4 linked regions of the Struthio camelus genome follow. The protein of the gene in region 2 purifies or fractionates together with the protein of the main gene of each other region. This does not show direct contact. Links are inferred from orthologs where the notes say so. Each region holds a gene or a part of one and is shown on either strand. Other genes may lie near its edges. The genes, in order: DIAPH1, IQGAP1, MYL6 and MAP2K1.

Region 1 (7,494 bases), on a different chromosome or scaffold from region 2:
AGTTTAACTATATCAGAGTTCTGAAGAGAATTACTTTCACTGCTTTCTAATATCACACAGGTGTTTCTCAGGAAGCTGCAACTGATGTAAACCAACAGCATAGGTGGACTTTTTATAACCTCCATTGTTCCCTTACGACGGGGGACAAACACAGGAGTTGCATTTTGGATAGAATGAAGTAACAGAAGAACCAAGGAGGAGGCTGCTGCAGTGAAGAGATTGGGAAGTGACCAAGTAGCGCACAAGTATATTAGTCACTAGGACAGGAAGGGTGGGTCGAGGTTTGGAAGTTGGGAAGGCGGCGGCAGCAGCAAGACTTGCTTAAAAGCCTGAATGCACTGTCAACTCCAGGAGAAGCAGCAGCAAACTGTAATCTAATAAAGAGACATGATGATTTGCACACTTAGAGCAAATTAGAGAGCATTAAGTTTGCAAATAAAATACCAATGACAATTGATTGCATCATATTTATAGCAATCAGCGGCCAAAATGTTATGCTGCAGAAGACAGAGTTCATATGCAAAACTGTGCAGTAGGAGAGAGGTGAAGATGAAGGAATAGCTAACTTTTGAGGCTAAAGCAAGCTTCATAAATATGTCACAATGTCATCTACCATATTAGGTGCTTATGCTATTTTCAGTCTCGGAGCAAGTGTTGCTATTGTTGTACTTCCTAGCTAGAGGTACTCTGTTTCCCAGCACATGGAAAAAGTCTTGTGCGTTAATTACTCTGGATTTCTGCTTAGCCAGCAGATATAAAAGATTAGCTTCTGAATTTGGAGCAGGTCACTGGAAGCCAGGAAACTGAATTTGTCTTCTGAAATTTTTACAAATAAAAAACTTACTACAGAAACTGAACTCTCTTCATTCTGAAATCAAAAGCAGTAAGGCCAGGTTTTCAAAGGTGTTTAACTTGCCAAAATTCCAGTGGGCACCTTTTAGCCTCTTTAAGTACCTACGAACTTCGAAAACCTGCCTTGTAGTGAGAAGACAAGAATCCACCTGTCACCTAATTCCAGTTCATACCTCCTTACTTAATACATTCATGAAAATCATATATCCAACCAGTATAATCAGTATGTTTTTTGTTGTTTTAGTTAAGACCATCTGAAACACTACTACGAGGCTATATAATCAGATTTAAACTACCGAACTCAAACTACCATAAATAACACAAAATAGTAAACATATTTATGTGCACAGTAATAATAAAGGAACAAAAATAGCTCCCTGCTGTGTAATCTAATAGATGACCCATATGGACACAACATATCCTTATGAATAGCAAAAAAGTGTCGTTTTATCTATGACAATGAACTTGCGTTAAAAAAAAAAAAAGAGTACAAACAAAAAAGAAGGTTAATCTCAGTTTTCAGATCTCCTTTCTACTTCTACGTTGAGGCAACAGCCACAAACCGAAACAGGAAGTTCCATCTGAATCTGAGGAAAAACTTCTTGACTGTGAGGGTGACAGAGCACTGGCACAGGTTGCCCAGAGAGGTTGTGGCGTCTCCTTCCCTGGAGATATTCAAAACCTGCTTGGACGTGATCCTGCACGACGTGCTCTAGAGGACCCTGCTTGAGCAGGGGGTTGGACTCGATGATCTCCAGAGGTCCCTTCCAGCCTTGGCCATTCTGTGATTCCCAAAGGAGAACATGTTTCCTTTCGGCAAGCTACATCCTGCAAACGCGTCAGTACACAAGCATATATCCAGACTGCAACAAAGAGAGGAGAAAGTACCTAACCCAGAGTCCAGTGGTATGCCAACAGGAAAGGTGAGGGGAAGACATGCATGTACCCTGCTGATGCCAAGAGGAACCCAATACTATTTCAAACTCTGAACAACAGGATTACTGCATTTTCACCTCCCATTGTTATAGCAGATATTTTGCTAAACCGCTACTGAATTCAGCTCCTACTGCATTTAATAGGAGCAGAAGCAGTCCATGAACTGATACGGAAGAAAAGCAGAGTGTAAACACTCCGTAAGTCATGCAGCAGTCAGAAGAGACGGAAAGGGATGCACCGATCTTTCGCTTAGCGTCGAGACTTGTAGTTGTTTCCAGAGTGCCAATACAGGTGACCCCCCTCCCCCGCCAAACTTCCCAACCAGCAAAAACCCCTAGTTGTCTCCAGTTTCAGCCAGTTCCTGATAACATCTTCAAAGCCGCTGCATACAGTCAGCGCAACTGATTAATCACTTAAGTGCACATCACCGCAGAATAACTCCCGCAGCGCGGCGAGCGCGGGCAGCGCAGCGCTCGGCAGCGCCCTGCGCGCTTGCAGAAAGTTCAGCGCAGGCGGAAAGCCGGACGGCAGAAACGGCTGCGGCAGCGGGGCGACGGCGGCGGCGAGGGACCTCTGGCCGCCACCCAGCCCAGCGCCCCGCTCCCGCGGGGTCCGCCACAGCGGCGGGCGGGACACCGCGTTCAGGCGCCTTTTGAGCATCACCAAGGCCGGCGGGGGGGGGAGGGAGGGGGGGGGGACCCGTTGCCGTGAAAACGAGCGACGCTCAGCGCGAAGCGGGGGGGCCCCGGCGGCCCCGCCGCCGTCGCGCCCGCCACGGACCCCCCCCCCCCCGGGCAGACCCAGACCGCCAGCGAGGCGCGGGCAGCGGCGGGGGGAGCCCGCCCCCCCCCCCCTTCCTCGGGGGGGAACAAACCCGTCAGCAAGAGAAAACCGGTCCGCTTCCACCGGGCAGGCTGCCACAGGAAAGTTGCCGCCCGCCGGCCGGCCGGCAGCGGAGCGGCTTTGGCCGGGGTTTCCTCGCTGCGGGCGGCCCCGGCCCCCCCCGCCGCCCCGCGGTGACCGCGGCCGCCCGGGCCCGGCACCTGCGGCAGGTGCGGGCGGCGGCGCCGCAGCCCCCCCCCCCGCTCCCGCGCCGCCACTCACGAATTTCTTGGACTTGCTGGGGTCGCCGGGCCCCGCCGCCGCCGCCGCCGCCTCCTCGGGCGCCGGGGCCTTGCCCCGCTTCTTGTCGCGGCCGCCGCCGCGGGCCGCCCCCCCGCCGCCCTCCATGCCGCCGCCGGCTCCTCAGGCCGCCGAGCCCGCGCTGCCCAACCGCCCCGGCCGCGCCCGGCCCGGCCCCGCCCGCCTCATCCCGCATGCAGCATCTCATTAGCCGCATGAATATTCATGAGCCCGCTTCCGCTTCCGCTCCGGCCCCGCCCACTTCCTGCCGCCGCCGCCGCGCGCCCCCTGGCGGCGCCCGGCCGCCGCCGCCGCGAAACGCTCTCCCGGCGCCGCTGGCGCTCGGGCAGCTCCGAAGCAGGGAGGCGGCGCGCCGCCTTGGGGGGTTCTTGCCCTACGCCGCTGTGGCGGCACCTGCTCTTTCATTCAGTCCTCTGGGGCCGGTTTCGGCTCGCTGGGGGACCTGCGGGAGGTTGCCAACGTTTTGTCATCGGGCCCCGTTTTCCTGCTAAGGAGGCTTTGGAAAAAAACCCACACCCGTGTCCTTAAGAATTAAGACATGCTAGCTCCAGCCCCACCAATATACGCGGTCCTGTTTGGAGCAGAAACGCGTCCCTAACTGCGGCGAGGGCTGAAGCGTACCTCTTCCCGGGAGCTCCTGCTCCGCCACAGAACTCCAGGTACGCCAGCAAGCCAGGGGTCACCAACACACCCCCTCCGAAAACGTAACTAGAACTTAATATACCTGAAAAATAACCTGGTACAGCAGACTGAGCAGCAGCGTGGCTTCCTCGGTGCTGTGCGTGAGGCATCCGTGGTGGCACGCTGCAGAGGATCCTCCTCTGAGGCCCTTCCACCTTCCTTCCTTCAGTGAACCCGCTTGGATACGGGAGGCCTGGCACATGTTCCAGTCTTATTTTCAGCTGGATGCTACAGCAATTCAGCAGCTTCTATCGCCATTGAGCCAAATTAATTAACAGGTAAGCATCTAAGTGGCGAGTACTGCCAATCTAGGCTTCTTTGCAAGCCAATTTTTTGTGTGGCACCTCGTTGCCGAAGAACAGAGTTGACGTGATAGCTTTCTGCGTCACAGTACTTCGGGCACCACTGGACTTGCTCAGAGTGGAGTCAGCCCCATCACGCACAGCAACGGTTGCTTCACCTTACGTGGGACCGCAGACAGCACCGGGCAGGACAGCCAGACTGTTTGTTCACACACGTGCTATCCGAGTGTGCCTGGAGCATCCCACTCGAGTGCTTTGAGGGTCCTTTTGAGGGTGCCATGTGGTTCACGCCACAACCCTTCTCTAAAGGCCAGTGATCCAAGTTCAGCTTCTGCAAGCAAAGCCCTTTGGGCTTTTTCTTATCTATTGTTTTTCTGTCACCAAAGCATAGTATTTCTCCCAACCTTTTTTTCATTACCTTCTGGAGGCTTGCTCCATCCATGTGGGCCTCGGGTTGTTTCTTTTTCAAACAAGCAGGCACAGGATATTTCAAAGGGTGCCAGGCTCAGGATAAAAAGGGTGCTTCTGCTTCAGGTTGGATTCTTCCAGCCCTAAGCGCCTATCCCTACAAAGCCAAAATAACTGCTTGTTCTGGGTACCCAAACTAGCCATGCTGTGTGTCCAGCCCCCAGGAGTCAGCGCACATGTCCCTCGCAGGAGGAGTTGAACCTGAGTATATAAGCACAGTTGCAGAAGCCTCACAAACCACCAGCTAGGATTATGCATGAAATTTTTCTAAAACACTGCTACTGCAGTGGGAGCTTGATCCCATCCTTGGAGTAACAACCACATGCATTCATTTCTAGCTAGCCTTTCTCTCCCGCAACATGATCTGTGCAAATACTAAAATAGAAATAAAGCAGAGTTACTCACCAAGGACAGGAACATCTCTGAATATATTCACTCTTCAGAGCCAAATGAATTCTTCTGACCCCTTCATCTAAGTTTCTATTAAATAGAACTGAGCTACAATGCAGTGGCAAAATCAGTCGCACCTTTTTTTGGCACCCAGCATTACATCCTGTTCCCATCAAAAGGTTTGCAAGTCACCCTGTAGGGCAGCATAGCTGCACCCGCGTGGGCATTATTCTGATAATTCAGTCTCTCAACACACATCTTTCCTGCTTAGGTCATAGTCAATATTTGATGCACAGCAGGCAAGCCTGAAACAAGCAGCTATTCAAAAGTGCATTCATCAAATAGGCCTGAATTTTCTCCTTTTAATGACCAGAAAATGCTTGTTTGCTTCTGTTCCATTTGCCCGTGAAATCACAGAATGTGCTCAACAAAACACAGTCCTGTCTCCTCTCCGAGAGGAGGGGGGACACTTCTAGTGCCCAACACCCATTTTCCCAGATTCATACCAGGCAGGACCACTCTGATATTGGCCAGAAAATGTTTTGAAGGGATAGTTAAGGCATCCTCTGCAACTAAAGCCAAGCTGCTCCTAGTCCCGGAGGTGCGCCCATGTTCCGGGCTCCAGCCTTACAGTCGCTATATGCTGCTCATGACTAAGCACTCTTCCTTTTGCTGCCAGTTCACTTATGGAGCTCCACTGACTTACCTTGCTTCCAAATGGGGAGCTAGTGACGTGGTTGCGGCCTCCAGGTTAAATTACATCATTCGCTGTGTCCAAGGGGCAGCTGCTAGTAGTTCAGGACAGGCCACCTTGTCTTCCCTCTCTTTTTGGCTGCCATAAGCATTAAGCACCTGCTCCAGTTACTCTGTTGGCTCCCAGTCATTTTTGGAAGAGTCATTTAAGGCTTTTGGTCTTCATTTTCAAAGCAATTAGTGAGCCCGGTTACGGCTCTATGAGAAGTCCACATTTCAGCTTATCAGCCCACATCAGAGCTGTGTTCCTCTGGGACGACTGCAGACTGCAAAATCTGAACAAAGCATGAGGCTGGCCTGTAACAACACATCCTTGGCCAAGGAGGGTCAAGCTCTGGGGGGAACTGTCAGACGGAGCCACAACTCTGTCACCTTTAGGAAACCTCCCAGATCAAGGGCTTCCACCTCAATCACAGAGACATTCACATCATCCCTACCTCTATTTTGAACAACTGAATTCAAAAATACAAAGGGAGCTTTTTTCCTGCTAAAATATAGGAAAGAAAATACAGCAAGAGAGGACAAAAGTACTCTCTAGGAACTTTGTGACTGAATTTTTTTCACCCTTCTGTGATCTCTGTTGCCCATCGATAACAGCAACTAAATGCAGTCAGTTGACGCTCACTGTGTACGTTATAAACTGCAGCTGTTTTATCTATTTGTGCAAGTGTTGGTTCTCACACATTTCCTAAAGATAAATAAATCTGGCTTAATTTAATTTCAGTTGGTACCAGACTATCCTGTACTTTATAAAGCAGCCTACCAGTCAATTTTGTGTTAGATACATATCATGACCCCACATTCAAGATGTGCAAGTTTGCCACCTTATCTAGTATATTACTACTGTGGATTTCACACTTGTCTTGTTCCTATCCACTTCAGTAGGCATCTATTACTGGGTGATGCCAGAGACAAGACACTGGTCTACATGAACCTTTGGTCTAATGCAGCTTGAGTAGTCCTGCAGTATCAGATGGCAATTTTAGTTCAGTTTCTCATTTCTGACAGCTCCGTTGCAGTGGGAAAATACAACTGGGAGGAAAAATCTCTACAGCCTGAATTTGTTTCACAGCCGTTTCCAAGAAAACCCATCAGAAACCCAGATAAAGACAATCCTCTGAATTTGCAGCCTTATTTCAAAACCCAGAACAGACAAGGATTCTGAAGAGGGAAAGTTTGAATAGCACAGGCTGTACAAGTGATGCATACCATATCACAAGGAGGAAAGAAAGCACTTACGTTTCTCTACTGTGGGAGGAATGGAGCCTAAAAAGGCTGCCAGGGGAGGGCTTATTATGGGATAGAAAGAGATGTGCGAATCAAAGTGCAGGAGGAAGAGCAATACAACTGAAAGCCCCAGAATTTGTTGCTTCTTAAAAGTAACAGAGGTACCTCAATGCAAACAGGACAGGTAATTTTGACTAAGAACTGGCTGTGGAGTTTTTGCGAAGTTTACAGTCTTCATCAGTAAGAGATGGAGCTACAAGGGGAGGATTTCCCTCTTCTTTTGAAGAAGCAAATATTGACTACTACCAGAGGTGAGAGACTGCATTCCTGTAAATCAGCTTTGATACAACTGATGACACCATCAGATGAAACAAGCTAGCTCTCTGATGATATCAGATGAAACAGGAACTGGAATTTAAAAAAAAAAAAAGTTATTTTCTGTTCAGATTCCAGTCTTTGTTTTTCAAAACTCTGGCCATTGTACTGGCATTTTGAGTCTTCTGATATGCAAAGTACAGCATGTCAGCTAAAGCACATAAGGAACACAAATATGATTAACCAAGCCTTAGGGTAAGCGCATAGCAATACTTTACAGAACATACATCCAGTGTCCAAAAATTTGTGCTTAGAAGTGTCTTTGAATTTAACAACCTTGGTCCTTTTTATTTTTTTTCCTAGTCCCTTTCTGAACCCACAGAAGCTTTCAGTATTCACAGTACTTCATGGCAAGTTGCACTGTCCA
Region 2 (7,062 bases):
GTGCTAAGTCATGAGAAGAGATGACTGTCATGGAGGAAAACATTAGACAAACTAATCTGTTTCACTCCTATTCTTCACTTATAGCATGTAAGATCACTTGTTTGCAAAAGATTTAAAACTAGCAACAATAAGAATTTACACATTCATTTTTAATAGTTCCCTTCTCTTGACATAGCAGATACAGGTATCTACCCCCACACACCTCATGTTCACAGTGTATTTTCATTAATTGTCTGAATGAAGAAATACAGCATGCTTTCACACTTTATAAACGTGGAGATAACGCAGAAGAAGGAGGGGGCTACATGTATGCTGGAAGACAGGAATACATTCAAAATTATTTCAACACATTAAACAAAAAGGTCATGAAAAAACAGAATAATATTCAACAGGGTCAATTAAAAGGTAATAACACTTAGGAAAATGTAATTGGCTGCACAAACATAGGATGGGGAACAGACTTCATCAGCATGCCTTCAAGGAAAAGGATGGCAAGTCAGCAAAACTCTACCACATCATGCCATTATGAAAACCGAGATACCATGCTGGAACGCATGAACAACAGCATACCTAGCAGGATACACGAAATAATCCTTATGCTCTCATCAGCATGTTAATGCCCCAGTTGGAAAACTTCTTCCTGTTTTGGCAGTGCACTTCCAGAAAGACATGGATTAAGTGGAGAGATGTCAAGACAATCCAGGAGTAATGACCTCATCTATTAAATAGGACCCACAGGGAAACTCATATGAAAGAATTGGGTTTTTTTAGTCTAAGAGAAAAGAGCAAGGAAATACTTTGTAACAATTCAGATTTGTAAAAGGCTGCAGTGAAGAGAATAACCTGTTCTCCGTTTCTGTTGATAAGTAATGGCGTAATACCGCAGCAAGACATACACAGGTGGGATAGCAGGGAGGATCCTTCCAGTGTTAAGAATACGGAAGCACTGGAACAATTGCTGAAGGCGTAGCTATGGAGTCCCTGTCACAGAAGTCCTTAAGAACATATTATATAAGCACATCAGGAACGAGCTAGACAAAGTTGCATTTGCCCCTGTCAGGCAGAAAAATAGACTAGAGGTAGCCGCTAAAGGCCCTCGTAGGCTTTTTTTTTTTTTTTTTAAATGAATCTATATAGCTGCTCAGAAACACAGTCAAGAATAATTGCTATGAAATTATTCCACTTAACAAGTATCACAACTCTTTTTAATACACCAGCAGTTTCAAGCCCACTTATTCTTACCTCTTGGCTTCCTCCAGATGGCAAAGATATTCATAAGCCACGTTCTGGCGCCGTCTTTCATCCATCTCCTCCGCTGTTAACCTCTCATTATCCAGGACAGCTGCGAACAGTCAAACAGATTCTCAGGTTCTTGAGGATTGAATGCAAATGAACAGACAAACCAAAAACCAGATCCAACCTTTCCCACAGGAGCTCACTTTTATTTGATTCAGAAAACGAAGAACCAAATAAACAACAGAACAGAAAGTAAAGCTGAAGCTATCCCATTTCCTTACCCTTCCTCCCTTGCCAAATAAATGTCATTTTCCTTCTTTTGGATTTCTCCATTTGCTTCTGATCCAATTTTTTGCATCTTCCAATTTCCTATAAACAGCCCTTTCTCTTCTTATTTCCTTCTAGCTTTACCTTTCTCTTCCTAAAAAGTGCATCAGTGACCATGTCTCTCCACCTACCTTCTGATTTTGGTAATCAAAGATTAAAGGAGGACAGCGATATATCATCACACCATAAAATCCCTTTTATATAGTTATACTCAATCTCTAAAAGAGAGGGCAATGCTACTCATAATCCTCACCTGGAGAGGAAGCGTTCAGATCCACAACCTGTGCATCATGTTTGGATTGATCTGAGGACCTATTGAGGGGTGTATGCCTAAATCTTTCAGACTGTGTTCAAAGCCGCAGTGATACAGCCTGTCCTTTCCACTCTTACAACTAAACACCTCATCCATGCTCTTATGGGGAAAAAATGCACGTTCTTCGGTTTCAAGGAGTAGTTTGACGAATAGGAAACGTCTCTTACTACTGTTAATCAAAGGTTAGCTCACACCTAAAATGCCTTCATCAAATAAGTGTAACGACAAGGTATCAACTGCAGTATTGGGTCTCAAACAAAATTTTGCTTCAGACTGCCACGGGTCTCCTAGAGAACCGGTCCAGGGCATGCCAAAAGCCTCTTACTGCTTCAGCCTCTCCCAAAGTTACAAGGGCTGAAAGCTGTCACAAATCCCACGATAACAGCTACCAGCAGGGAGAATTCCTCTCCCCTCCCGGCCCCCGCCTCAGCGCTGCCTTCTCGAGCAGCGCGGGGCGGCCAGCGCTTCCGGCGGGCCCTGCCGCCGCCGCCCCTCACCGCAGCGCTGCAACTTCTCCGCCCTCACTGACTTTTGACGTGATAGCGCAGCACAAACTCTGACGCGTAGCACAAAACTCCAACGGGGGCTTAAACTAAAGCCTCCGTCCCCAAAGCGTAATTCCAACGCGCCCGGGTGCCTTCGCCGCAACCGGCGGTGAGGCCGGGAAGAGCAGGGCAGGGCAGGGCAGGGCAGGGCAGGGCAGGGCCCCGGCCGGCCGCCGCGCCGCGCCCACCGCGGCGGACATCTTGGGCGAGGCCCGGCCGCCCCCCGCCAGGCGGGGGCGCCGCAGCCGGGGTCAGCGCCGCCCGCCGCGCCCCAGCGTCGCCCGCGGACGAGGCCCCGCCGCTCCCTCCGGGCCCGCGGCGTCCCGGCCCCCGCGCGGGGACGAGCGGGGCGTCGCCAGGCAGGATGCTCCTCGGCGGCCGCCCGGCTCGGCCGAGCCCGGCCGCCTCTCGGTACTCACAGCCGTAGTGGGGCCGGGACACGGCCAGCCCGTCCACCTCCTCCGCCGCCGCCGCCATGGCGCTGCGCTGGGCCGCCCGGAGCTGCTGCGGGCGCGGCGGTTCCTCTTCCTGCCGCTCCGGGTGTGGCGGAGGAGGAGCCGCCGCCGCCGCTCCGCGCTCGCCCCCCGCTCCCCCCGCCCCGGCCGCGCCCCGGCCGCCTCCGCCGCGGCCGCAGCGAGGCGCTGCCCTGCCACGACCCCCCCGCGCCGCGCCGCGCCGCGGTCTGGGGCGCCGCCCGGGCAGCGTCCCCGCCGCGGCCGACCGGACCCGGCGCCCGGCTCGGCCCCGTCCCGCTGCCCTCAGCCCGGCGGACGCGGCGCGCCGCCCTCCCCCCGTCCCGCTGCCCACGCGCGGGGCGCCGCCGCCCGCCCCGCTCCCCCCCGGCGCTGCCCACGCGCGGGGCGCCGCCCCCCCCAGCCTTGCTCCCCCCCGGCGCTGCCCACGCGCGGGGCGCCGCCCCCCCCAGCCTTGCTCCCCCCCCGGCGCTGCCCACGCGCGGGGCGCCGCCCCCCCCCAGCCTTGCTCCCCCCCGGCGCTGCCCACGCGCGGGGCGCCGCCCCCCCCCAGCCTTGCTCCCCCCCGGCGCTGCCCACGCGCGGGGCGCCGCCCCCCCCCCAGCCTTGCTCCCCCCCGGCGCTGCCCACGCGCGGGGCGCCGCCCCCCCCCAGCCTTGCTCCCCCCGGCGCTGCCCACGCGCGGGGCGCCACCCCCCGGCCCCCCAGCCCCGCTCCCCCCCCCCCGGCGCTGCCCACAGGCATCAGCACTGGAGCTTCGCAGGGCTGGGCGCTGTAGAAAAACAGCAAAAAAGGAGACAGGTCTGATGTTAGAAAGTTTGTGCTCTGTGTTAGAAAAAGTGTGCTCCCGTATACTGATATAAATGGAACTGTTAATGGTAGTTGGATTTTGGAGACTCGTGGGAGGACTTCTTCATGAAAGATCATTCCTAATCAGCTTCAAAATGGACTATATGGCTCAGTAAAGGAAGGGAGGGAGGGGGGCGGCTGGGAATAGGACTGTGGGGGAGAGGGAAGACTGAACGGCAAGGAACCGTTTGCAAGTTCCTCTCGCCGCCGAGGGCGGGTTTGCAGTGCGAGGAGGTAAAGCAGCGGGAGGAAGCGTTCCCTCTCCAGCCAAGCCAGATTCGGTCTGTTGGCGCTGGTGGACCTGCTGAAGTACGTGACTGACCAACAGCTCACAGAGATGGAGAATATGTGGTATCTCACAATATTAATTTGTCCTTAAAACAACAGATACAAATCAATGTTAACGCAACACAGTGAACATCGGAAAAACAATACTAACACGCATATACAACGACAGGTTCTAATTTACCCATTACAGCTCAGGTGGGAGATCCTGGAGCTGAAAACTTCAGCTCAGTGCTGAGCAATGGTCCAAAGGCAAAGAGAATTTTGGAAATTATGAATAGTAGTATCTTGCAGCTAAGATAGTTTAAGGATATTCATGAGGTGAAATGACTTGCCTGACCACTTATATCAGTTGGTCTCCTAAAAGACAGTCATTCTCTCTGCAAGCCTTACTCCATAGTATTAGGAAAGAAATGCAGTAGTACAAAGCAGGAAACTTCATTTAGCCAGTGCATCCTGAATCCTGACTGAGACACTTATCTTGAATAGAGATGTGCCCAATTTGAAATATACCTCACTTTTGGTCATCCCCCCTTAAAAAATAATATAGGCGAACAAAAATAGGTACAGAGAAAGGCAACAATGAGGATCAGAACTACAGAAGGGCTTTCCTGTCAGAAGAGGATAACTAGCTAGGACACTGAGAGAGACCTGTGAGGAGAGAAAAGGGGCTTGAAAGAGATGCACAGAACATGAGAAGGAGACTAGGCAACATGTTTTCATTCCTTCTGACAAAACACACGTTAATCCCAAATTTAACCATAAAGCACTTTTAATCCAAACTAAAGGAAATGCCTTTTTACAAAGTATAACACTATAGAAATCAGTATGACATTATTTTGAAGACCAGAAGAAAAGGAGTTAGACAAATGCACAGAGGTTCATCAAAGGCTACTAAACAAACTGGTCTAGATGAAAGCTTGGGAAGATCATACGTCACTGGATGGCGGAGTAAGAAGGGACCTCTTTCCACGCATGCCTTATTTGTGCTCTCTATCTGTCCGTATTCTCAACAGATCAATATCAGACACAGGACCCTGGACTAAAGAGGCCTGTGATTTGATTCAGTGAGGCTGGGAGTTTTTGTTGTTGGTGGGTTTTTTTTTATGAAGAAACATGCAGGCAGTGATCCTGAGGAAGAACAAATTTTCCCATTAAGTATTGTTGAAAGAGACACTAATGAATGTAAGTAATGGGCTATAATGATGATAGTAATAATAATAAGTGATGGCAACAATTTTGTAAGACCATGACACCCCTCAGCTCTTAGTCAAAATGTTTGGTAACAGTTATAATTCTAATATTAATATTTATTTATATTACTTCATATGTGGCCACTCTGCAGTTATACAACGAGAAGACATTTTAAACAATGTTTCTATATAGACTGTGGAGTGCAGAACTGGTTTTGTTCCCCTAAAATCCCAGAATAATTTTTGCACATCTCCATAATCCTAGTGAAAAAAAAAATCATAAACTTGGTCTTGTCTATAAGACCCATTCTGACAAGAATAAAACAAGATTATCACACATTTGCAGTTTCAAAGTTTCTGGCTGAACCTCTTCAAGGTTATACTTGAATCGCTCCTGTAATGGCCCCACCGATCATTGTCTCTAAGATTTCTGGTCTTTGTTACTGTCTCTACTAACTGCTGTTTGTTAGGGTTTGTGTATCTTTGTGTTTAATTTATTGCCTCTCCTGTTTCTTGTCTTCTTTTTTTTTTTTTAATGTTGAATAGCCGCTAGCTAGATAGCCTTTCACAAAGCACTACAGAGGTACCTATTTTTCTCTAGTTTCACCGTTTTAGTTATCAATTCTGTACAAAATTTAATTATTCTTTATTTGGCCTTGACTGCCTAATCACCAGGCTTCCCTGAGGAAACGAGAGCTGCAAAACTCAGTCCTTTATTTAAACTACTGTTATCTGTTCCTTTGCAAGTATTTACTAGCCACTTTCTTTATCGAGAAAGATTATTTCTGTGAATGGTGCTGGGGGGAAAAAAACACAGATTACCTGAAGACTCTGAAGCTGCCATTCTGCAGTCGCTTCAAAATAACCTAGCTGCAGGCTGCCACTGAAACAGGGAATCTCTCATCTCTTGTATCCCCCTCCAAACATTATAGTATATACAACGATCCTGCCTGCCTTTCCAAAAAACCACATGGTCTCTTAGTCCAAAAAAGATTGGGAGATAATAGCATATTCAAACAATGTTCCACTGAAGAATTTCTCATGTATGTCCTCATTTCTGCCAAAGTAAAAGCTGAAGATGGAGTAGGATCTGCTCTAGGTCTCATTTAGCACTAAGAATTCCAAGCCATGACTTATGCTATGACACACAAACCCCTCAGAAAGCTGAGAGAACAGATGTCTTTTGCTGCTCTACACAACATCCTTCATTCTCCTGACTCGTCTCATCCGTAACAGTCATTCCTTAATACTGTTCTTTGCGCTTCAAGTATTCATAGACAATTGAGACCTTTCCCTTTAGATCTCATTTGTCCGGGATAGGTTTATTTAGGTCTGTAACAATGTTTAGATCCCTAATCATTTTTGCTGTCTTCTCTAATTACCCAGTTTAGCTACATGTTCCGTGTTAATGGGCCCAGACTGGCCTGCAGGAATCCAGGCACAATTGCGTCAGTTGAAAATATTTCTATGACTCCTACCCCTCACATATCTGATGATACTGTTTTGTATATGGTCATATGTCAGGCTGTGGCTGCACCAGATCAGAAACGTAGTGGCCAAATGAGACAAGTTGTTGCCCTGGTCTAAAAACGCAGTGCTGTTTCAAAACTGCACTCCCTCAGCCCTGGCCCTCCCATCCTTGTGGCAGGGAACTTTGCAAGAGGCTCTGGGAAAGCTGCAGAGGAAGTGGCTGCCCACTTGGGGGAGGAAGACATGGCCAGCCCCATACCACTTGCTTCTGCAGTGCCAGACCAGCCAGGCAAGACAGGTGAGTCTGGCTCACGATATGGGGTCTCCTCCATCCTATTTGTTTCCAGACTTGCTTTTGCATCCTGACCTCA
Region 3 (7,529 bases), on a different chromosome or scaffold from region 2:
GGGTCTCCAAGGCTGACCAGGAGGTCCTTGGAGCCAGCTGGGGGCTCAGGGGGGTTTGGGAGGTCCCTGGGGCCAGCCAGGAGTTCAGGGGGTCCCCAGGACCAGCTGGGGGATCACCAGAGTTTGGAGTACCCCAAAGGCTGGCCAGAGGCTCACAGGAGCTCAGGGGCCTCCCAGGGCCAGCCAGGGGCTTGGGGAGATTCAGGGGGCCTCCAAGCTGGCTTGGAGCTCACCAGGTCCTGGGGACCGGCAGAAGGGTTGCCCAGGTTCGGGGCATCCCCAGGGCTGGCCAGGGGGGTCCCGGGGCCAGCAGCACTCCAGCAAGTCACGACACTCACCCAGGGTGACGAGGACGTGGCGGATCTCAGCCCCCATGACGGTGCCGTTGCCCTCCTTGTCAAAGACCCGCAGCCCCTCCACGTAGTCCTCGAAGCAGCCCTGGTCCTTGTTCTTGGCGATGGTCTGCATCATGGGCAGGAACTGCTCGAAGTTCAGGGTCTTCAGGTGCATCTCTGGCCGGGAAGGGGCAGGGACACAGGCGGTGAGGACGGGCTGGGGGCCGCCGCGCCGTGGCCCGGGGCCTGTCTGCGAAGGGGTCCCCCCCGCTCACCATCGCTCTTGGGGTTCCCCAGCACCTTCATGACCTCGGCGTTGGTGGGGTTCTGGCCCAGCGCCCGCATCACGTCGCCGCACTGGCTGTACAGGATCTTCCCGTCACCCGTGCGGTCGAAGAGCTGGAACGCCTCCTTGAAATCTGCGGGGCCGTCGGCGTCAGCGGGGCCGGGCACCCACCGGACCCACGGCACCGCCAGGAGCCTCCACCCCACCTGCGGGACCTCGCGTCCCAGGGGCGCCCGCACGCTGTGCCCTGCACCCCACTGCACTACGCACCTTGCACCCCGCAGGACTCCGTGGGGTCTTACGGCCCATAGGACCCTTCATGTTGTGCCCTGCACCCCACAGGACCCTGCACCCCACTGCACTACGCACCTCGCACCCCACAGGACTCCATGGGGTCTTACAGCCCATAGGGCCCTGCACCCCACGGGACCCTTCATGTTGTGCCCTGCACCCCACAGGACCCTGCACCCCACTGCACTACGCACCTCGCACCCCACAGGACTCCATGGGGTCTTACAGCCCATAGGGCCCTGCACCCCACGGGACCCTTCATGTTGTGCCCTGCACCCCACAGGACCCTGCACCCCACTGCACTACGCACCTCGCACCCCACAGGACTCCGTGGGGTCTTACAGCCCATAGGACCCTTCATGTTGTGCCCTGCACCCCACAGGACCCTGCACCCCACTGCACTACGCACCTCGCACCCCACAGGACTCCGTGGGGTCTTACAGCCCATAGGACCCTTCATGTTGTGCCCTGCACCCCACAGGACCCTGCACCCCACTGCACTACGCACCTCGCAGGACTCCGTGGGGTCTTACAGGCCATAGGGCCCTGCACCCCACAGGACCCTTCATATTGTGCCCTGCACCCACAGGACCCTGCACCCCACTGCACTACGCACCTCGCACCCCACAGGACTCCGTGGGGTCTTACGGCCCATAGGACCCTTCATGTTGTGCCCTGCACCCCACAGGACCCTGCACCCCACTGCACTACGCACCTCGCACCCCACAGGACTCCGTGGGGTCTTACGGCCCATAGGACCCTTCATGTTGTGCCCTGCATCCCATGGTACCCTGTATGTTGTACCCTGCACCCCATTGCTCCATGCACCCTACGGGACCCTGCACCTCACTCTCTGTGGGACCCCACATGTCGTACCCGACGCCCCACGGGACCCCGCACCCCACGGGACCCGGCGCTGCCTCCCTGGGCAGCCGCCAGCTCCCGCCTCGGGTTTCGTTTCCGAGCGGGATCCGGTTTCCCGGGAGGAACCCGACACCCGGCGGGAACCGGGTCACGGAGCCGCCTCGCCCCGGAGGGCCCAGGCGTCCGAGCCCCCGCCGCCCCCGTTCCCCCCTCCCGCTGGGCTAGAGCTGCCCGAGCAGGAAGAGGGCCCAGGCGTCCGGGCCGCCTCCCGCCCTGCTCCGGGCTCTCACCCCTCCCCTCCGGGGAGGGGACCCAGGCGTCCGGGCGGGATGCTGCCCGTGCAGGAAGCGCACCGATGCCCGGGCCGCCCCCTCCCCTGCGCCAGGGACCCAGGCGTCCGGGCGGGATGCTGCCCGTGCAGGAAGCGCACCGATGCCCGGGCCGCCCCCTCCCCTGCGCCAGGGACCCAGGCGTCCGGGCGGCCCCACCCGGCAGGAATGCGCGGCCCGGCCCCGCGTTATGCCCATATAAGGGCAAATGGCGCAACCGGGGCCCGGCGCCGCCGCCGTCCCCCCCCCCCCCCCCCGGTACCGGGCGGCGCTGCGCACCGGGAAACGCCCGAGCTGCCGGGCCCAAACACCCCCCCGCCCCCCCCCCGGCACTCACCGGCCGTCTGCTCCTCCGTGAAGTCGCACTGCGGGGAGAGCGCGGCCGTCAGCCCGCACCGGGCCGCGCCGTCGGGCGCCAGCGCCGCGAACCGGCCCCGCCGCCCCGCTCCCCGCCGTGCATCGCCCCCGGCCCCCCCTTCCCCCCGCACTGCCCCCAGGCCCGGTGCGTCCCGGTACCCCCCCGCCCACTGCGCCCTGGGCCTTCGCCCCACGTTGCATCCAGCTCCGGTTCCCACCCCCCCCCTCGGGCATTGCACTCGCTTCCCGGTGTCCCCCCCCGCCAATTGCACTCGGTTCCCCCGTGCATTACCCTCTATGTCCCCCCCGTGCATCGCCCCCGGTTCCCCTATGCACCGCCCCGGCCCCCCTCCCCGTGCATCGCCCCCGGTTCCCGGTGCCCCCCCCGTGCACCGCCCCGGCCCCCACCATGGCGGCGCCGCTCCCGCTCCGCTCCGGGCACTGGGAGCCGCTTCCCGGCGGCACCAGCCCTTTCTACCGCCCGACGTCACCGCCCTCCCATTGGCCGCGCGCCGAGTGCGTCATCGCACGCTAATGAGGCGCTCATTATGCATGCATGAGGGGCGGGGCGAGTTGAGACCCCGCCCCTGCTCCCGGGGGGGATTTTTTGCCTATAGATGGGCACGGAGCAGAGCCGGGGGGGGGGGGCGCTGGGGACACCCCACGCGCGACACCCCAGTGGGGGCACCCGATAGGGGACGCAGCCTGGGGGAGCCCTACGGTGCCACCCCCGTGACGACACCCGCGTGGGGGACACCCCAACAGATGACTCACTAGGAGACGTCAACGGGGGGGGGGACACCCCCTTGATGGCACCCCATGGAGGACAGCCCATGGGGGACACCCCACCGGTGACACCCCAACAGGGGACACCTCAGAGGTGACATCCTATAGGGGACAACCCAACAGGGGACACCTCCTTGATGGCACCCCATGGAGGACACCCCAGTGGGGGACATCCCAATGACAGCAGCCCACAGCCTCCTTTGGCATGGAGGACATGCCAATGACAGTATCCCCGTAGGGGACAACCCAACAGGGGTCACCTCATTGATAGCACCTCATGGAGGACAGCCCATGGGGGACACCCCAATGGGGGAACCACAATGGAGACACACCACCGGTGACACCTCACAGGGGACCACCCAATAGGAAACCCCAACAGGGAGCAAACCAACAGGGAATGGCCCAAAGACAGCACACCATGGGCGACAGCCCGTAGAGGACAACCCAACAGGGGACACCTCCTTGATGGCACCCCATGGAGGACATCCCAATGACAGCAGCCCATAGGGGACCCTGCATGGACATGCCAATGACAGTGTCCCCGTAGGGGGTAACTCAGCAGGGGACACCGCATTGATGGCACCCCATGGAAGACATCCTAATGACAGCACCATCCAGGGGGACCCCCAGGAGGACACCCCGCTGATGGCACCCCAATAGGGGACACCGCCCCCCCCCGCAAGCCCCCCAGGGACCACACAGAGGCCGGGGCTCTCTCCTCCCTCCTTTATTTGCAGGGGGACGGGGTGGGGGGACACGGGGGCCGCGGCCCCCCGGAAGGCAGCGAGGGGGACGTGCGCGGCGGTGGCACGGCGGTGGCTCCAACACAAGCGTCTCCCCGCGGCGGGGGGCAGGTTTCGCCCTCGACGGAAACGGGGGCGAAAAGGCACGACATAAATATAACAGTCGAAAGCAGCAGCAGCAGCGGGGGGGGCGGCGGTGGGGGGGCCGGGGCCGGCGCCCCGTCCGGCCCCCCGGCCCCCCCGGTCTTTGGTCAGTGCAAGGCAGACGGCGGTGGCGGCGCTAGGGGCTGCTGCGCTCGTCCCGCAGCTCGTACCTAGGGAGAGTGGGGTGAGCGCGGCCCCTCGCCTGTCCCCCCCCCCCAAGCCCCAGGATGGACCCCCAGCCCCAGGGCACGGACCCCCGGCATGGGGGAAGAGAGCCCCCCATTCCCTAAAGGCAGATAGCCCACTCCCTAGGGACAGACCCTCCCCATCTCTGGGGGCAGATACCCCATTCCCGGGGGCAGGACCCCCCCCATCCCTGGGGGCAGGACCCCCCCCCCCATCCCTTGCTGCAGATACCCCATTCCCGGGGGCAGGACCCCCCTCATCCCTGGGGGCAGGACCCCCCCCCCATCCCTTGCTGCAGATATCCCATTCCCGGGGGCAGGACCCCCCCCATCCCTGGGGGCAGGACCCCCCCCCCCAATCCCTTGCTGCAGATATCCCATTCCCGGGGGCAGGACCCCCCCTCATCCCTGGGGGCAGGACCCCCCTCCCCAATCCCTTGCTGCAGATACCCATTCCCAGGGGCAGGACCCCCCTCATCCCTGGGGGCAGGACCCCCCCCATCCCTTGCTGCAGATACCCATTCCCGGGGGCAGCAGGACCCCCCCCCATCCCTGGGGGCAGGACCCCCTGCATGGGTCCCAGCCCCAGGGCAGCTCCCCCCCCTGCCCAGCCCCACTCACCAGTGGGCCCCCCCCTCGGCCAAGTCCACCTGCGCCAGGTCCAGATGGAGCTGGGGGAGAGCGAGGGCTCAGGAGGGAGGGAGGGAGGGGTCCCGCGGGGGCCCCCCGCCGCCCCCCGGCCCCCCGCCCTACCTTCCCCAGCGCCTCCTTCTCCCGCGCCATGAAGGACGCCGCGGACTTGACATGAGCCTCCAGCTTGCGCCGCGCCGCCTCCTCCAGCGACACGTCCCACTCGAACCTGCGGAGACCGGGCTGTGCTGGGAGGCGCTGGGAGGTGCTGGGATGCACTGGGCAGGGCTGCACCCCCCCCACCCCCCCCAAAACCTCTCATTGAAGTCGGGGTTCAAGGTCTTCTTCTGCACGCTGGTCTTCCTCTTGGTGGCCCGGCTCTTGTCGGGCAGGAGGACGAGGGAGACGTAGGGGTCGGGCAGGTCCTTGGAGACCGGCTTCAGCTGCCTGCAGCGGGGAGAGGGCGCGGGATGGAGCCCCCCAGGGGTGCCGAGCCCCCCGCCGCCGCCCCCCCCCTGTGGCGGACCCAGGTGTCCGGGCGCCCCCTCCGTTACCTGCAGGCGTGCACCACGGCCACCAGCTTCCGCTCGTCCGCGTGGTACCAGAGCGTGAGCTGCAGCCGGCCCAGGGGGGGCTCCGCCGGCTCCGCGCGGCTGCCAAGCCCACCGTCAGCCCCGGCCGGGTCGGGGGGGGGGGGTCACGGCTCCCGGACCCCCACCCCCGGCTGCACCCGGACCCCCCTGCGCAGCCAGGCTTTGCATCTGCAGCCCCCTTCCCAGCCAGGGCTTTGCACCCAGACCCCCACCCCGATGCAGGCACCACGCCGGGACCCCCTTGGCCAAGCTGCAGATTTTGGGGGGGGGGGGGGGCGCAGCCCTACCTGTCGGCGGGGGCCAGGCGCTGGCGCAGCAGCCCCCCGGCCCCGCTCTCCTCCTCCCGCCGCGGCTCCGCGTCCTGGGGCTCGGGCTCCCCCCCGCCGCCGGCTGCCGCCCCCAACCGCTGCGACGCCAGGATCTGGGGCGGGGGGGGGAGGCCGAGCAGCGGGGTGAGGGGGGGTCCCGGCCCCGTCGTGCTGTGCATCCCCCCCCCGGCGCTGAGACTCACCGCCAGCTGCGCCCGCAGCAGGACCTGCGCGCCGGGACCCCCCCCGGCCAGCGGGAACCAGCCGTCCAGGGCGAGCGCCTCGGAGGCCAGGAGCTGGGGCAGGGGCAGGCTGAGGGCGCCCAGGGGCTGCCCCCCCTCGTCCTTCACCTGGGGGCAACAGGGGCGAGCTCAGGGACCCCCGGGAGCGCCGGGACCCCCGGGACCGCCGGGGACGGACCCCGATACCTGCAGCTCCAGCGACTCCGCGTGGGGCCGCTTGATGAGGAAGGAGAAGCCTTCGTCCCACACCGGGTCGGAGCTGGGGGTGCAAGTCTGGGGAGGGGAGGGGGCAGGAGAGAGGGTGAGAAACACCCTCTCCCCCCCCCCCCACCCCGGCAGGACCCCCGGGCCGGCGCTCACCTTGGTCTTGGCGCAGACGTCGCGCACGGCGAGGCTGGCGTAGGCGGCGGGCGGCTTGGCGCCCTTGAGGACCTGGGGACGGCGACACGGCGGGCAGGGGGTGAGCGGCGCCCCCCGGGGCGCGGGGACAAGGGGACCCAGGCGTCCGGGCCCCCGCTCACCGGGAGGTCGGCGGCTCGGTCCACGAAGACGGAGAGCAGGGCGGCCGAGAGCTCCTCGCCCCGGGCGGGCTGGATGAGGCTGTTGGCGCGCAGGACCTGGGGGAGCGGCGGGTGGGCAGGGGCCGAGGCCGGCTGAGACCCGGCCAGCTCGTGGCGCGTGTGGCCGAGCCGTTACCTGCTCCAGGAGGGCGGCGCTGGGGCACGGCACCAAGGTCTCCAGCCGCACGTGGAGGCGGCCGGACTTCACCTCCTCCAGCGGCAGCCACTGGCGGGACGAGACGGCGGGTGAGACCCCCCCCGGGGGCGCCCACCGCGGCCCCCCCCGTCCCGGCCCCTCTCCTACCTCGTCCACCAAGCGGCTGCTCAGCACCCGGCGCAGCGGCACCTTGCACCTGCGGAGGGGGGCGGTGAGGGCCGGCCGGGTTGGGGGGACGCGGCATCGCCCCCCCCCCCCCCAAACCCCGGCACCCACCGGCCCAGGAAGTCGTCCTTGTCGATGTCCTTGTCAAAGAGGTCGAACTCCACGTCCTGCCCCGGGACGTCGTCCACGATCACCTGGCGAGGGAGAGCCGTCGCTGGGAAGGCGGAGGCGGCGCCCGGACGCCTGGGTCCCCCCCCCGCCCCAGCCCAACCCTGCCTCAGTTTCCCCTCCCGGCCGGCCCCCCATCCCGCACCTCGTAGACCTCGTTCCAGCGGGGGTTGAGCTCCTCCTTGACGACGCGGCTGCGGAAAGCCTTCCCGGCCACCCGCACCTTGGCGTAGGGGTCCGACTTGCCCCGCACCATGCCCTTGAGGAAGTTGTCCTTGGCCACCAGGTTCTCGGCCTCCAGGAGATGGATCCGGAGCACGTTCTGGGGGGGGGGGGGACGGATGTGTGGGACCGGGCTGCAGGGGGACAGAGCTGGGGGCAGCTCT
Region 4 (6,908 bases), about 3.0 Mb from region 2:
GTGACAGGTTTGTATATGGTGCAAGCAAATGAGTAACTGGAGATCCACATAGCCAAAATTCCATGAAACCAGGAACTAAGCTTAAAAGAAAAGTTAATATTTAGTCTACAAATGCTAACGTACTTCAAACACTTGACAAGGTATACGTATACAAAAATGGACAGACACCTCCACCATTGATTTCAAGCACTGACCAACAGTAGGAGGGAGAGAGAGAAAGGAGGAGAGAGAATCAAGCTCATAGATGAAGGCAAGCAGCCACTGTTTTCCATTTCATTCCCAGGCAATTTCCAAATTCTTATTCAACTATTCTTTGTTATTTAGTGTTTCACAATAAGGATTTAATATTTGCAGGATGAACGGATATTTTCATAATTAATTAATTCTAGCTACTTATGGGGCAACAAGCTGCTGGATTTACTTTTTCGTGAAGCTGCTTCTTAGAAAACAAAAAACCCAGACACCCACCCCCCCATACACACAAACCCAAACACCTACCACCTAAGACTGTCAAAAGCCAAGTATGAGCTCTAATATATGACAAAGAGTAAAAACCTAGGAGATACGTATGTCAAATAAATTAATGTACAAAGTGCAAAAAGGAAGCAAGAGAGTTATTTGGTGTAAATAAGATTTAATAACCCCATGAGCCTCCATAAACTTTCAACAAGTAATAGAGTATCAGACATGCATAAAAAAATTTAAAATTAAGGACATTTCTTGAATAGAAAAGTACTGAAGAAATACTACGTTTAATATATTGGACGGCTGGCAATTAATTTTAGGTACCAGAAAAAACAAGTGATAGGTATAACAGATTTATTCTATAAGATCAGGCTACTAAAATACCCTAGGGACCTCTGAAAACTAAATCAAGGAATCTACAATTACCTTGAAGAAAGTCAACTGGAACAGGCTATATAAGCTAATATAAAAACATTTTTCCCCCTACCATCCAGAACAAAGATCACATAATATTTAGATCAAAATCCTTAGATACAATAAGCAATCTCTGCCTAAAGATAATTCTTAAAGAGCTCACCTTTCATTTAATCATCAAAATAGTTTGCTAGAAATGTCACAGATGGAGATGTTAGATACTGAATATTTTCAGAGATATTATATCAAAGCAGTTAAATGAGAACTGAACTTATCTGAAAATCTGACAGCAACAATAGCAGCGCAATGCTTTAAAGTCTGAGACTTACACATCTCAGCGCAGCTCTGTTCATGACACAGCGGTACACAAGCATCTCAGAGCTCAGTTTCTGTATCCAAGGAGGAAGAAGAGTGAACTGACCATGCCAGGGCAGGAATCTCTTCTCCCAGTACACTTTTCTTTTCCAAACCTCAGTTCATAGTGCTAGCCCAACACCTCAATCTACAAATTAAGTAGTGAACACAGACCTGTTAACCTCTAGCAAGCTTCTTTTACAACACTTCATTACCCTACAGTGCAACATGTAAAACAACCCACCTTGCTCGTCCACATCCACTCAACACGAAGCTCATCTCATAAGCAGTATGTAACAATATAACGTTCACTTTTTTCCCCCCAAGTATATCAATGATTAGTTCAGACCCACCCTCCTGACATTAGTGTAATGTTTTTATTATACTCAGGAAAGCTCAAAAGCAGTTTCTACAAACATATTTGTCAAACTACTTATCATTACAGGTTAATTACTGAAAAAATCAAAAGTTTTCTGATATTAGTGTTATTTTGGTTTAAAGCAAAAGGCAATAACAAAAAAAAAACCCTTTTCTACAACTTAAGTGATTTTCAGTATAATTTCTTCCCACATACACATTTACAAAATGTGCTATTGGAAAGGTAAAATTTGCCATTAGCGAACTATTATAGTAATGAAATCTAACAATTTCAATTTAACAAATATTAGCGTGAGCTTCACAGATATATACTCCTATACCCGATTTCTGTGGCCACATGAAAATTATAACTTCACTGTAATTACAGACGTTTATTGAGATGCCTACAAGAAGAAAGTTACACCGGTTTTCTCTCCCTTTTCCAGCTTGTTTACCCGGCACGTCTGACAGCAGTGGATTTACGGCCGAGAGCACCGTCCAGTTATTTTCCTGAGAGAACTCTCGGGCCGCTAAGGCGAAGGGGGCGCGGACCGCGGGAAGGAATAACTCGCATTTCCCCGGAAAACGGGCCGCGCCGGGCGAAAGGGCGCCGCGGAGGCCGGGCAGCCGGAGGGGCGGCGCAGCCGGCCCCGCCGGGGCCCCTCAGCGCCGGGCCCGAGGGCGCGGCTGCGGCCCCGCGCGCCGCCACCTCAGGGCGCCGCCACCTCAGGGCGCCGCCACCTCAGGGCGCCGCCACCTCAGGGCGCCGCCACCTCAGGGCGCCGCCGGAGGAAGAGTCACCCCCCCCCACACACACACACACACACACACTCTCCACTCACTCTGCCGAGCTGGTCCCGTTGACGGCGGAGCCATCCGGCGCCGGGTTGAGCTGGATGGGCCCTGGCTTCTTCTTCGGCATTTTTCAGCCCGGGAGACCGCAGAGCGTAACCCACGGAGAAGCGCTGTCCCCACTTCGACCGGCTCCAGGGGACTTCCTGCGGCGGGGCAAACTTAGCGGCTGCGGGCAGCCGCCGCCGACGCCGCGGCGTTGCGCTGTGCCGCCGCCGTCAGGCCCCGGCGCGCCGCGCCGCGCGGACCCTCCCTCCCACCCAGCCCAGCCCCGCTCCGGGCCCGGACTCCGCGGCACCGAACCTTCTCCCAGCGGCTCCCGACGGGCAGGACTACCCGGTCTCAAAATGTGCCCTTCCTTGCTCCTGCGCAGGCGCTGGCCGCGCGGGCCCGCCCAGCGCGCAGGCGCGGCGCCAGGCGCGTGCGCACTGCGGACGGGAAGCCACGCCGATGGTTTGCCCTCACTACGCTTTGCCCTCAGCTGCCGGTCCCGCGGGAGGCAGCGGGGCGGGGGGACATCTCTCCTCGGGGTGCCCGTTCCGGGGCGCCGTCCTCCGGCCGCGCCCCTGCCGCCCCGCCGCGGGGCTGAGCGCCCGGGCTGCCCCCGCGGCTCGGCGCTCTGGGCGTTCCCGCTCAGCTCCCGCCTCCGCTCGGGCGGGCGCGCAGCCTGCTCCCCGCATCCCGCTCACCTGAGATAGGCTTTTTTTTTTTTTTTTAAACTTTCTTTTTCTCTCCCCAGACGCTTGCGGCGACGGGCTCTGAAGCTGCTAGGCCGCTCTGCGGGCAGAGGGGAAGCGGCGGGAGCCCGGCGCGGGCTCTGCGCCGGCGGCGGAGCGGCCGCACCTGGACGCTTTCGGCGCCTGGGACCTCCGGCGGCCGCGTAATCCCCGGTTAACACGTTCTCTGACTTTTTATGGAAGTTTTATTTCGAGAATGCTCACAGCGATTAATTAACGTAGGCTGTTCCCAACTAGCGACATCATTTGCTCTGTAGACAAAGCCACATGGTTAAAGCAGTGTTTTATGGAACGGTTTGTTTCTCTCCCTCGTGCGCAGTCATTACTGTACCCATATTTGGTAACTACTGCGTTTATAATTAAAACAGAAACCTCAGTGGGGGTAATAATGGCTGCTAAATTTTTCCCATAGTAAATGCCTGAAGTAAAAATGAAAACTGAGGATTACAGTTGGAAAACAATTATAAATAGTAAAATGAGTTTGAAAATGAAATGCAAAAACTGCTTTTGTTACAACGCTGCTTTCACTACTAAGAATGACCAGATTTGGATATCATTTGAAGAAGAGGTAATCAATCCCTAGTTGAAGGGAGGGTCCGTCACATGTTAGGTAATTACAACATTGTAAGTCCAAATATATTTCACATATTCATGTGATGGTGGCTTTAAGTACGTGTACGTTTCTATGAAGTTCTGACTTTCCTAACCGTTTGATCCTGAGATTCTCTGGTGCTTCGTAATTACGTTATTTTAGTGAACCTAAAGATATAACCCAGAGAATGCTATTTTCAAGTAGCTCTCTATCATATATTGATAAAGAAAAACAAAAATGTGGGGCTGAGAAAGTATGATGTTATAAAAAAAATGCTGTACACTGGGATTGTACTTTATGAACCCACTGCCTCCTTTAATAATTTTAGGGTTAAACATAGGCATCCTGAACTCATAAAAAGAAGGGCAGAGACCCCACCCCATGGAAAGAACAGTACATTGTTATATATGGGTTAATGCAAGAAAAAATACATCAACAAAATTGTGAGGGTAAAATTCCAGAGAACTAAAGCCACCTTACTGCTGAAAAAGAGCCTCCATATTGGGATTTAAGGTAGTTAATACTGCCTTGCTTTAACACTGACTTGCTTTAATTTTCCTGAGCGTTTCCACACAGAATGACCTAGTTCACTGATTCCAGCTGGGAAGTAATCTGAATTTTTATTACCAAATGCATCCCGTCCTATAGGTCCGGACACCTAGCTAAATTGGGAGAAACAACCAGGCAACAACTCTTTCCCTATCCAAAAGGTTCCAGAGGGAGAGTAAGTTATAGATGAGCTTAAGAGACTTTACACCTCGTACATCCTTTTGCTCTTCCATGTCGAGGAGCGCTATACAACTAGAGGCTGTATTTTGTTACTTTCCTGTGATATTAATCCGGCATGAGTACATTTTTTTTTAAGATCTAGTTTTTAACTGAATCTGTTCTATGACAGTTGACTGCTCAGCTGAAAGAACTGTAATGCTGCAACAGTGTTTGTGATAGCAACACATGCAAGGATGCCTGCAGTTATTTACAGTAGCTTGTGAAGTCTAAGTATCAAGTCTCTCTGTGATAAAAAAAAGGGAAAAAAATGTTTTTACTACAGAAGAAATTGAGTTGCAGCTGAGGTTGTTTTCCCCTTTACCCAACTGCGTGTGGAGAAATGCATGGACTCCTTTGTCTGACACACTGAACTCCTTTGCAGAGAATATGCGAGTCTCAGAGAATGTACAATTATGACAAATGCCTTGTATAATTGTAGTTGCACTATATTGCAGTTGTTCACATGAGTTATGCAACTCTAGTTATTCTAATAGGTTGTAAAGTATGTCCTCTTTCTCGGAGCAGATTATTGCAAGGAAGATATTATTTTCTTTTAAAGGTCCGGGTTGAACAAACAAGAATTTTAGTTATGAGCTGTAATTTTTCCCCATAAGCTTTGAATCATTTTTCTCCTTCTAACATTGTTTTTTTTTTTTCCTATCAGGTTAGACTATATACTAAAAAGCCTACATAAACAGGTGAATGTCTGGACATGTTTACCGACAACAGAGGTTTCAGTATGCAGACTTTTTTGAAATACAGCAAGAAATGTGTGTGTATCACATACATTATTTCAGCTGACAGTAAAAGTGCAGAGTAAATTCCATCACATAACTTATTTTTTAAGTAATTTGTATGAAGAACTACTATGAATTCTGTTTCAATTTTCTGTGATTTGCAAATGTAAAATAATGATTATACTTTTGGTCAAAGCAGTCATTAATGCTTTTATGGAAATTGAAATTTATTATGGGAAAAATGCCCTATATATTGTGCAAAATGCTCTATTATTCCTAGCATCTCACCCATTTCTAAAGTAAAAAAGACTAAATTATTTTATTTTCACAGCTCTGCCCTTCATACACACACTCCCCCGTCTATTAAATGCCAGGTAACGTTAAGAGATAGCTCCCTCCTGCGGTGTACTTTATACTTGCACTGCAAACAACACTGCGGTCTGAATTCACTTACCTGTTTTAGAGTCCATTTAACCTACTGCAAGACAAAGGTATTTTGATTGTCTGAATACAGAAATATAATCATATGTGTACAGACTGATGCCACCTCAAGAACCATTTCAATATAATTGCTGCTGCCATCACCTAGTTCCTCAGGCGCTATCGTACTCTTGGAACTTTTAGGGGGACCAAGCCTTAAAAAAAGGGCTGGATGGCCTCTAGGCTTTGTTCAATGAGACCTAAGACGCTTTGGGGATTTTTTTTGTTTGTTAGTAAGAACGGACGATCTTACTGATCAGTATAGGCATACTATTATTTCCTAAATGATCTATTTTATTTTGCGTGATTATACAGTATATTTGAAATGTTTCAAGAATGTTGTAGGTTGGTTGGAACTTCTCTAAAACAAACAGATTTAACTTCAGTATATTTGCAACTGAAAATAAAGCACATTTCCTCACCTAAAACAAAGCAATTGTAAAGCCGGTGGGATGTGGGTTTTTCTTACAGACAGGTGTCTCTGAATATGGCTCACGCAGGAGAAGATGAACAAAAAAATATAAGCGAGGCAGTGTAATCCGTAAGAAAGACTTCCAAGCAGGGAGACTTTCTGATTTATTGATTCAACTACTTCTTGAAAAAAAACAGAACTGTAATATATGTCCCTGTAAATAGAACTGCATCAAAGAAGTTTGTCTCCATTACCACTTTTTTCTCTCATGAGACTAACCTAAAAAAACTGAATTTTGGCTAGTTTCTTGTATGAGAAAGAAAAGAATACTAAAGATTTGGAGACTCAATAATCCATATAATAAGGGGAGATAACTTGCAGGAGGCTGATACTGAATCTGTGAAGCAGATATATAGTATATAAAAATACAGAACCTATAAAGTAGCTAAAATATCTGTTAAGTTCCCCTCACCTACCAGTCAGCAGTCAGGAATAAAACACTTATTTCAGTATGAATTATTCCTTTCCTCACGAACTTGATTACTGCATACCTTAATTGCAGTCCTAAATTAGCCCAGTTTTTAAAACCTGATTGCCACATAAAGCTGTATATTTTACTGCCGAGACATACACACACAAAATTTTATTTGCAAGATTTATTACTTCTTAATCTATTTAGTGCTTAACAGAGCAATTCAGGGAAACAATTAGTCCCATAAGCAATGGAATTTAAGAAGCCT

Evidence for each region.
Region 1: the proteins of IQGAP1 (region 2) and DIAPH1 purify together in Homo sapiens (affinity purification with western blotting; 3 studies listed by BioGRID and IntAct, with this or other methods). This does not show direct contact. The link is inferred for Struthio camelus from reciprocal best matches to the Homo sapiens genes IQGAP1 and DIAPH1.
Region 3: the proteins of IQGAP1 (region 2) and MYL6 purify together in Homo sapiens (affinity purification with mass spectrometry; 4 studies listed by BioGRID and IntAct, counting the BioPlex papers as one, with this or other methods). This does not show direct contact. The link is inferred for Struthio camelus from reciprocal best matches to the Homo sapiens genes IQGAP1 and MYL6.
Region 4: the proteins of IQGAP1 (region 2) and MAP2K1 purify together in Homo sapiens (affinity purification with western blotting; 3 studies listed by BioGRID, with this or other methods). This does not show direct contact. The link is inferred for Struthio camelus from reciprocal best matches to the Homo sapiens genes IQGAP1 and MAP2K1.

The regions. Positions count from the first base shown.
Region 1 is NC_090954.1:22,034,255-22,041,748, reverse strand, and holds the start of DIAPH1 (protein diaphanous homolog 1), read right to left. Parts: upstream 3,019-7,494; coding exon 2,893-3,018; intron 1-2,892. UniProt on the Homo sapiens protein: Actin nucleation and elongation factor required for the assembly of F-actin structures, such as actin cables and stress fibers. Binds to the barbed end of the actin filament and slows down actin polymerization and depolymerization.
Region 2 is NC_090953.1:208,596-215,657, forward strand, and holds the start of IQGAP1 (ras GTPase-activating-like protein IQGAP1), read right to left. Parts: upstream 3,009-7,062; 5' UTR 2,899-3,008; coding exon 2,841-2,898; intron 1,343-2,840; coding exon 1,243-1,342; intron 1-1,242. UniProt on the Homo sapiens protein: Plays a crucial role in regulating the dynamics and assembly of the actin cytoskeleton.
Region 3 is NC_090969.1:569,966-577,494, forward strand, and holds the start of MYL6 (myosin light polypeptide 6), read right to left. Parts: upstream 3,013-7,529; 5' UTR 2,874-3,012; coding exon 2,871-2,873; intron 2,471-2,870; coding exon 2,443-2,470; intron 755-2,442; coding exon 611-754; intron 513-610; coding exon 339-512; intron 1-338. Other genes in the region: ESYT1 (extended synaptotagmin-1), read right to left, coding at 4,272-4,305, 4,942-4,991, 5,074-5,179, 5,266-5,397, 5,505-5,603, 5,831-5,964, 6,055-6,201, 6,280-6,366 and 6 more. UniProt on the Homo sapiens protein: Regulatory light chain of myosin. Does not bind calcium.
Region 4 is NC_090953.1:3,196,847-3,203,754, forward strand, and holds the start of MAP2K1 (dual specificity mitogen-activated protein kinase kinase 1), read right to left. Parts: upstream 3,019-6,908; 5' UTR 2,746-3,018; intron 2,589-2,745; 5' UTR 2,513-2,588; coding exon 2,433-2,512; intron 1-2,432. UniProt on the Homo sapiens protein: Dual specificity protein kinase which acts as an essential component of the MAP kinase signal transduction pathway.